Linked DNA regions of Danio rerio. The protein of the gene in region 1 interacts with the protein of each later gene in a pairwise test. Links are inferred from orthologs where the notes say so. Each region holds a gene or a part of one and is shown in the gene's direction. Other genes may lie near its edges.

What was found.
Region 2: the proteins of tns2a (region 1) and crkl interact in a two-hybrid assay, tested with the Homo sapiens proteins (2 studies listed by BioGRID and IntAct). The link is inferred for Danio rerio from reciprocal best matches to the Homo sapiens genes TNS2 and CRKL.

The regions. Positions count from the first base shown.
Region 1 is NC_133198.1:10,676,491-10,680,314, forward strand, and holds part of tns2a (tensin-2), read left to right. Parts: intron 1-64; coding exon 65-130; intron 131-292; coding exon 293-409; intron 410-2,105; coding exon 2,106-3,560; intron 3,561-3,732; coding exon 3,733-3,824. UniProt on the Homo sapiens protein: Tyrosine-protein phosphatase which regulates cell motility, proliferation and muscle-response to insulin. Phosphatase activity is mediated by binding to phosphatidylinositol-3,4,5-triphosphate (PtdIns(3,4,5)P3) via the SH2 domain.
Region 2 is NC_133196.1:20,315,573-20,320,112, forward strand, and holds the start of crkl (crk-like protein), read left to right. Parts: upstream 1-1,685; 5' UTR 1,686-1,970; coding exon 1,971-2,281; intron 2,282-4,485; coding exon 4,486-4,540. UniProt on the Homo sapiens protein: May mediate the transduction of intracellular signals.

The DNA.
Region 1 (3,824 bases):
CCCATTATTAATGAAAAATATTATTGCAATGATGAACACTCTCAGTTCCTATTGTTTCTTGTAGATGACAAATTTCCCCCTGATGCCATAGTGGAGTTTGTGTTTTCATCTGGGCCTGAGAAAATTAAAGGTAATGTAAAACTTTGCTCAAACTGCAGATGATCTTACTAACCTTTTAATTTCTCTTTCAGGGACCATGACATTGTTTGACAAATAGTTTTCTTCCTTGAGCTAATGTGCAGAATTTCCATTAAAATGACAGGGCCACATTATGTGTGTGTGTTTTATTCAGGGAGAGTGAGCCAAAGGAATGATCCAGCTGTCAGTGTGGACTATAACACAAATGATCCAGTGGTGCGCTGGGACTCATATGAGAACTTCAATCAGAGGCATCAGGACAGCCTAGAGGGTACTACTATTCATTCATACAACCACACACTGGTATTTATGCAAGCATTCAGAGGGAACGTACTGTTTTATAATACATTTGGCTTTTTAAAATAAATATATGCATTTGTTCAGCATGAAATTGTCTATAAAAGTTTTACTTTTGCAAAAGACTAATAATCTCATGTAAACCAGTTAGCTCAACACAATTACTAAGCAGTAGAACTGTTGAAATACTCCAGAATCAGAATACAAGAACGGTTTCTGAGAAATCATGGGAAAATGAGTAATAGCTGCTACAAATTCAGCCAGCATTTTATTAAATTACATTTTTAAAAAGCAATAAGGTAGAAAGCATGGTAACACTTTAGTTTAGTTCAGAACTTATGCTATTAACCACTGGCTTATTACCCGTCTGTTATTTCAATATTAAAAGTTCATTAGTAGTTATAAAGTATGATCTTATTCTGCTTCGCTAATCCTACCCAAAACCTAAACCTAACTTCTAGCTTGCTAACTAATAATAAACAGTTAATTAGTAGTGATGGGTCGTTCTTGATCGATTCGTTCATTTTAAGCAAATCTTTTGTCTGACTCAGGGAGGAGTCCTCTCAGGGAGTGATTTGTTTCATTTGCGCGTGTGCACATTTGTGCTGGTGGAGTAGAAAAATAGTTGCTTTTTCGAGTCTTCTTTCAAGTATCGTTTATCACATGAAAGACAGAAGCCAATTATATGCCTTTAGAGCCGGAAAAAGATTTGATCCGTTCATCTCTTGAGTATTTGATTTGCGTCCTTCGTTCATCACATGAAAGACAAAAGTCAATTGTATGCATTTAGAGTTGGAAAAAGATTTGATCCGTTCATCTCTCTGGTCCTCGATTTGAGTCCTTCATTCATCACGTGAAGGTTAGAAGCCAATCATATGCATTTAGTACTGGAAAAAGATTTGATCCGTTCATCTTTCGAGTCCTCGATTTGAGTCCTTCGTTCATCACATGAAAGACAGAAGCCAATCATATGCATTAAGAGCCGGAAGAAGATTTGATCCATTCATCTCTCGAGCCCTTGGGTTTGAGTCATCTCTTTTTACATGCTGTCATGTGACGTGATGAACGAATAATTTAAAAACCAGAAGACTCAAAAGGTGAACTAATCATGGCTTTATTCGGCTTGGACTGTGTTCTCTGGTTAAGCGTATATGGGACTGTCAGCACGACATGAACGAATCACTCTAGTTTGAAGACCTGTCAGAAAAGGTGAGCTGACATGTTTGTAGTGTGATCAACGTTCGAGCTTGTAGATGAGTTTGGAAGCAACTCGTAACATTTAATAATATTTTGGCAAATTGTACAAAATGACTCGAAAAAAAGATTCATTCATCTCAATGAACAAGACTCAAAGGTCAGAGTCAGTAAAATTATTGGAACTTCCCATTACTACTAATTAGTAGTTTATTAAACTAGTAGGGCTAGTTAATGGTTTATTATTACTGTGAATTGTAACCTAAAATAAAGTGTTACAGAAAACATTTAGTTTAATTTGTTTAATAGGTTGAAATAATATTTTACACTGATGTTTTTTACTATATTTTTAATTCAATAAATGTAGACTTTAAATTTCATAATGACTTAAAATTGTGGAATCAAAGTATATAAAGTATAGATTATTAAAATTATTTTATGCATCAAATATTGATCTTGCAATTACTTCTCTCCAGATATTGCTCATACACGTGGCCCTGTAGATGGCAGCTTGTATGCACAGGTTAAAAAGCGCCGCGCTGCTGCTGGCTGCTCCTCTCTGCCATCGACCAATGGAAGCCCTGCAAGAAGCTCTGAGGAAAGACCAAGTCAGCTTTTGTCTGTTAGCACTGATTCCGGACACTCATCTGTTCCTCCTGATCGACTCGATGAACCGACTCGACCGGCCCCGCCTACTCAGCAAGAGAGGGAGGAGCTTGAGCGGCTATTGGGTGGGATTGAAGGCGATGGACTGAGAGACCGTGACCGAGAGACGGCTATTTTGGATGATGGTGATTCCTTGCCTCCTGAAAGAACTGGGTCTCTGAGGTTAGGCCGTTCATGTTCTTGTCGTGTGGGTTACCGATCTCAGGGTTGTGCTGAGCCTGGATGTAATGGATTTCATCATTTACCCAATGGCCATTGCCTTGATCGGCCCACCACCACTAATGGACACACAGGGGCTCTGTCTCCAGGTATGTCATCTGTCATAGGACTTTGCCAACATCACAGCACCCATCCTCACCAATCCCTTCCTCCTCCAGACCTGCTCTGGGACCGCCAGCAAGGTCCACAGCACTACCTGCATCGCACTTGTTCAGAGGGACCATCTCGCCACCTGTATCCATATCCATCCCAAGAGATCAATTCTCATCCACACAGTCTGTCCCCCCGACTGCTTTGTAGACCAGATGAGTACATTTCATATCCTCACCATCATCACAATCATTCACACCATCCCAAACCCAGCGGACCCTACCATGATGTCATGATGATAGATGGCCTAGTGACACCCGGCTGCCCCTGTCGAGACTGTGCTCTACGACGAGAAGAGTTCCACACTTTACGTTTGGACAGAGAGGATGGAATACACTGGGAGAGAGAGGCAGAGCTTCACCGGGATAATGGGTTAAGACGGACAAGAGAGGCTGACATGCAGAGAGGGGCAGAGATATGGGAGCGGGAGCCAGGACTAAGGAGAGGAAGAGAGATGTCTCTTCACTGGGACAGAGACAGAGATGCAGAACTACAGTGGGAGAGAGAACGTGAGGCTGAATACTGGCACAGAAGGGCTACTGTATCCCCATACGGGCCCCACGGTCATGAATTACCTGCGTTTAATTTTGATCCACTCCCAGCAGGCCATCCTGCATACCCAGAACCCTCCCGCTCTCACTCTCATGCCCATCTGGATCTTAAATACAGCAGCAGCTCCAGTGGCTACCAGACACCACACCAGACGTGCCCTTGCTCCCCCTACCAGCCTTCACCCTCAGAGAGTCGAGGATATGCCTCGGGTTACCAGTCTGAGTCTACGTCTCCTCTTCCGCCTCCATCTGCCTCCTGCCCCGGCCCGGTGCACCATGCCAGTGGACCTACAGAAAACCAAACTGACCCCCATTCTCAGCATTTCACCTCTGACTCAAATACAGGTGAGGACTGGTAAAGTTGTTTCAGTTTAACTCTAATTAGTTATTGCAGAGTACTGGACTATTAGTGAAGCTTTTGAAAGCATGCTAAAAAGACTGTATATTTTTCGTCTGCATCCATTTTCATCTGTGCATGATCAAATTTATTTACAAGTCTTTACCCTATCATTATCAGATTGCCCTGGTGCAGATAGCATAGGATGGCGTAATCATATTACCCATGGATCCCTCCGGCGGATGCATCCACATGCTCCATATTCAACACCC
Region 2 (4,540 bases), on another chromosome or scaffold:
ATAGAAAAATGTGAAAATAGCTAGGATGATTAATAAAGGCTTCTTGGCATTGGTCGGGGCCTCCTATTTTCTCGAGGTCCTAAGCGGTTGCTTACCTCACTTTTTGGTTAAGTCTGCTCCTGGTTGCATGTAAGAGCTCTTCTTTATTAAAGAAAATGTAATGTATTGGACATAATGCTTGTAAGACGACTTACATAAAGTTGCTGTTTTATTTTTGTATTTAAGGTTCTGTATTATTATGTCTCTGCATATGTATCCTGAATGTTTTTCACCTCTAATAATCATTATCTGTATAGGAATGCAATTATCAATGTTAACATATTCAGGACTGTAAATTACTCAAGTAAAGGCACAATCCCACCAAGATAATTCATATACATAAGTGGTAGTAAAGTTAACTTTATTGTCCTTGACAGGAAATTTGTTATGGTCATCACCATATTGCTGCAGACATTCCATAAAACAAACAATAAAAATAATGCAAAATACAGTAGTTTTAATATTACAATGCTAATTAAGATAAACTCTTGTTAAATAAACCCACTGAAATGGGTACAAAGGATTTCTTATACAAACAATGTTTAAACGCAGGCTGCTGTTGTCCTAATACTTTGCCATTATAGTTGTTGGTGGTCTTTTTTTAATTCTATATTTAAAAAGGTCTATAGGTTATACTGCAACTAAATACATTCTGGTGTAGCTAGAATGAGTAAAATGAGATGTAGAATGAATACCCTCAATTATTAACTGAATTTACACAAAAAAAATGCAATTTAACTTTAATGTTTTACTGATTTAGAAAAGTAAATTCGGCTTGTGCACATTTTCTTCAGTTTCTTCCACCGATAAATGTTTAAATTCATTAGGCACCAACATATCATAAATTTATCAAAAAGTTGAACATGTGAAGCTAATATATATAACTCCCCGTGTAAACAACAGGTATCCAGATAGGATGTGATCCAAGCTTGCCTTCCAAAATGTAAGCAAAAATACAGCACTTTAAAGCTTTTACTCACGCTAGGCTCTGTCAGTGCCCTGTGTGTCTCATTATCGCGGTTCAGAGAGTTTGAAATGCAGCCCCTCTGAACGCCACTCATTTCATTCTTCCTTTTAAGTAACAGGCGCTCGGGGCGTTCGTGACGGGCGATCAGACAGACCGTGAGCGCGCGCAGATCCGCCCTCCAGACGCCATTTCTCGGACGGTGTGGGGAGCTGAAGCAGCCTTTACACCAATCCCGAGAAGGAAAGGAGGACATAGAAAACAGAATTTTTAAGAAAGGTCTTCTCGCTCGTACTGTAGCGTGAAAGACGCGCGCGTCAGAAAAAAGAGCGCCGTGCAAGGCGGGAAACTTTATGTTTCTAGATTTTTCACAATTCGTTGTTTGTGAAGACGTGTTGCGGGCCGCCATTTTTGTTACAGCTCTCTAAGTCTGCTTGGAGTCAAAATTAGAGACACAACTCTTTCGTGCTTTGGGGCAGAACGCAAAGAAGAACTCGTTTTTGGAAGCAACTGACGTACGTCGGCTTGAATTGTCATGCTGAGCGATTTAGTAACATATTATGGCGCTGTTTGGCTCCTCTTGAGCGGACGGTGACTGAAGACGGCTAGCTCAGCTAACGCGTTATATTGTCTCATAAGCTGCAGCTACTTTCACGGAAGAGAGAGCGGAAAGGGGAACTTTGATTCCAAATACGTGTATTTGAGCTCGCTCTGAACTTTTGGGGTTATTTACACCTCTCCTAAAACCGCCGCGAATCTTGTGTTGGTGGAAAATTTAGCAATGCATCAAAGTTGGTTGACGCTAGTCGCAGCCTGTCTGGTCAAACGTCAGGTTGCGGTTCAGTAGGACTGACGGGTCTAGAAGTGCTAGGTCGCTTGTAAGAATAAGCATTTGTTGTTTTAATTTATTGCTCGTTTTGCTTTTTTTCACCCGTGTTCGTCAGTTACAAGTGTATTTCGAATAAACATGTCGTCTGCACGGTTCGACTCCTCAGACCGAGCCAGCTGGTATTTCGGGCCGGTTTCGAGACAGGAGGCGCAGAATAGGCTACAGGGACAGAGACACGGGATGTTTTTAGTGCGAGATTCGTCCACTTGTCCTGGTGATTATGTACTTTCAGTGTCCGAAAACTCCAAAGTTTCGCACTATATCATCAACTCTTTGCCAAGCAAGAGATTCAAGATAGGCGATCAAGAGTTTGATAATCTACCCGGCCTTTTGGAGTTCTATAAAATACATTATTTGGATACGACCACCCTGATAGAACCAGCACCAAGGTAAGAGTTTTTTTCATTTACTTTTGACATCGTCACATCATCCACCCCTCTTCTCAATAATGTTCTTTTCCCTCCCCTTCTCTTCTGTGGCAAGCCGTTTAAACATTCGAAGTAACCAGGATCTGTTTTTATTGACTCATTTTTGTCATCGTTACTTGCTAGACTATATTTTTAAGTTGCATTAGTTACCAGTTATTACTCATCTATTTTGTACGTTTTCTGTTGCAACAATACTCCAATACCCAGTAGTGTATTGTGTAAGTAACCTGTAATTGCAACGGAAACTAAATTTCAAATCTTTGCAAGTTGAAGCTTTTTGGATGTTTCTGGAAATGCTTTCAGTTTTACTTTTAATTTGACACTGGCATTTATATTTTAGCTAATAAGTAACACATTGCATGGTTTTATTGTGGTCTGACTACTGTGGTCTGCTAGTAAGGTTATTTTTGAGCTATCATAATAATTTTTTTTTCACAAAGTGGCAAGTAAAAAAAAGTTGTTACAAGATAAATATTGCTAGTTACAACTAGTAAAACTGGAAAGACAGCAGTTTGTTACTAGCATAATTTTCTTAGTGACTGTCCTCTAAAAATTTGACTCTACTAGTCCATTAAAATCATGTTTTTTTGTATAGCCAATTCAATTATAAAGCAGAATTTTTTATATTTTGATGTTGTAATTAAAACGTATTATCAGAGATAATTTGACAGAGATTCGGCTTAGTTATGATTAAATATTATTTTGCTAAATATTACAACTTATGATTGTAATGAATGAATCATTTGGAAACTTTGTACATCTGTCAAAAATGGACGTCATCTGCAAGTCTTTATAAGTTGATAGTAATGTAAAAGTATTGATTAGTTTTGGCTTACTTGCTAGACAAAAAGTATCATTAGTTGGCAAAAATGCAATCTCAATAATTATTTTCCATATTGACAATATGAGCAATTCCATGCAAATGTCAACCTTGCTATGAATTTTTTTTATGTTTTTTACCAAAATAGCTAAATTCTTTTTTTGTGTGTGTGTGTGTGTGTGTGTGTGTGTGTGTGTGTGTGTGTGTGTGTAGGCTTGTATTTTACTGGACTGAAAAATCAATTATATTTAATTTATCAAAGTCGCACAAGTAGCAATTTTACATCCGTCACATCCATAGCAGAGAGACGTCACATCCATAACTAACTTAACTTTTTTTTTCAATAAATACAAAAATGTAAAATAAAATCAAGATTTTTTTTGTTCTATAGAGAGCCAACTCTCATCCTTTTAATTAGCATTATTTCATTTGAGTTTTGCTGTTTTAATTCACATAATTTCTTCAAAGTATGCTGTATACTGTAACTTGCAGACTTTTTTGGTCATATCCATAACGCATGTTTATTTTCCTCATTTAAAGTATGAAAAATGTTTACAGATTGATATTTTTTAGATCCCTTAACTTGGTGGTTAGTTGTTTTTGATTGTTAAAATATACTTTTTTCTGTGAATTTATGTTTTGAGTTTTTGTAAATGTTATATCTATAATGCTGAAATTGCTCATATTTCGATGCAAGTTGTTAATGCTTCCAGATGTAAAAGTGTATGCCAACAATGACTGAAGTCACAAAAATTAGAGGGACCATTAAATGGCATAATATATGTTTGGCCGATAAATTTTTGGTGGCCGAACATTGGGTGCATCTCCAATACCAACACACTTTTAGATACCCATTGTTGCACATTTCTGCTGTGTAATTAGGTCAATATCAAGTAAAAAATTTCAGAGCTTATCATTGATATAAATTTTCGCGACTCGATATAATACAGTTTATCGGCCCAGAATTAATCATTAGCATAAATTGATTCACTAAGTGTAAGCTATAACTGTTAAAACTGCTTGCCATAGGTTTGGTGGCTGTTTAGTATTACTCTTACAATGAGAGTAATGAATTAAACATCTGTAGTTCCCCTCAATTTTGTTCTGGTTCTTTATAAAATGTTCTTTTTGAGATGTGCAGTAAAGAAAAATTAAGTTATTTCCCTTTAAGATAACAGGAAGTTACTCTGCATGTGAAAGTGCACATCGAGTAGATGATTAAATATTACAAAAGGCCTCCACTAGCGAGAAGCTGATTAAAGTGTTTGCTTTTAGATGGGCTCTTAAATGCTGCTTTTCTAGTTTATAAGTCGATCCTAAATATGATTTGATTGTTGTTCTACAGGTACCCCAGTACTGCTCTGCCCAGTGGTCCTATTCAGCCATCTGGAGGACTGGGT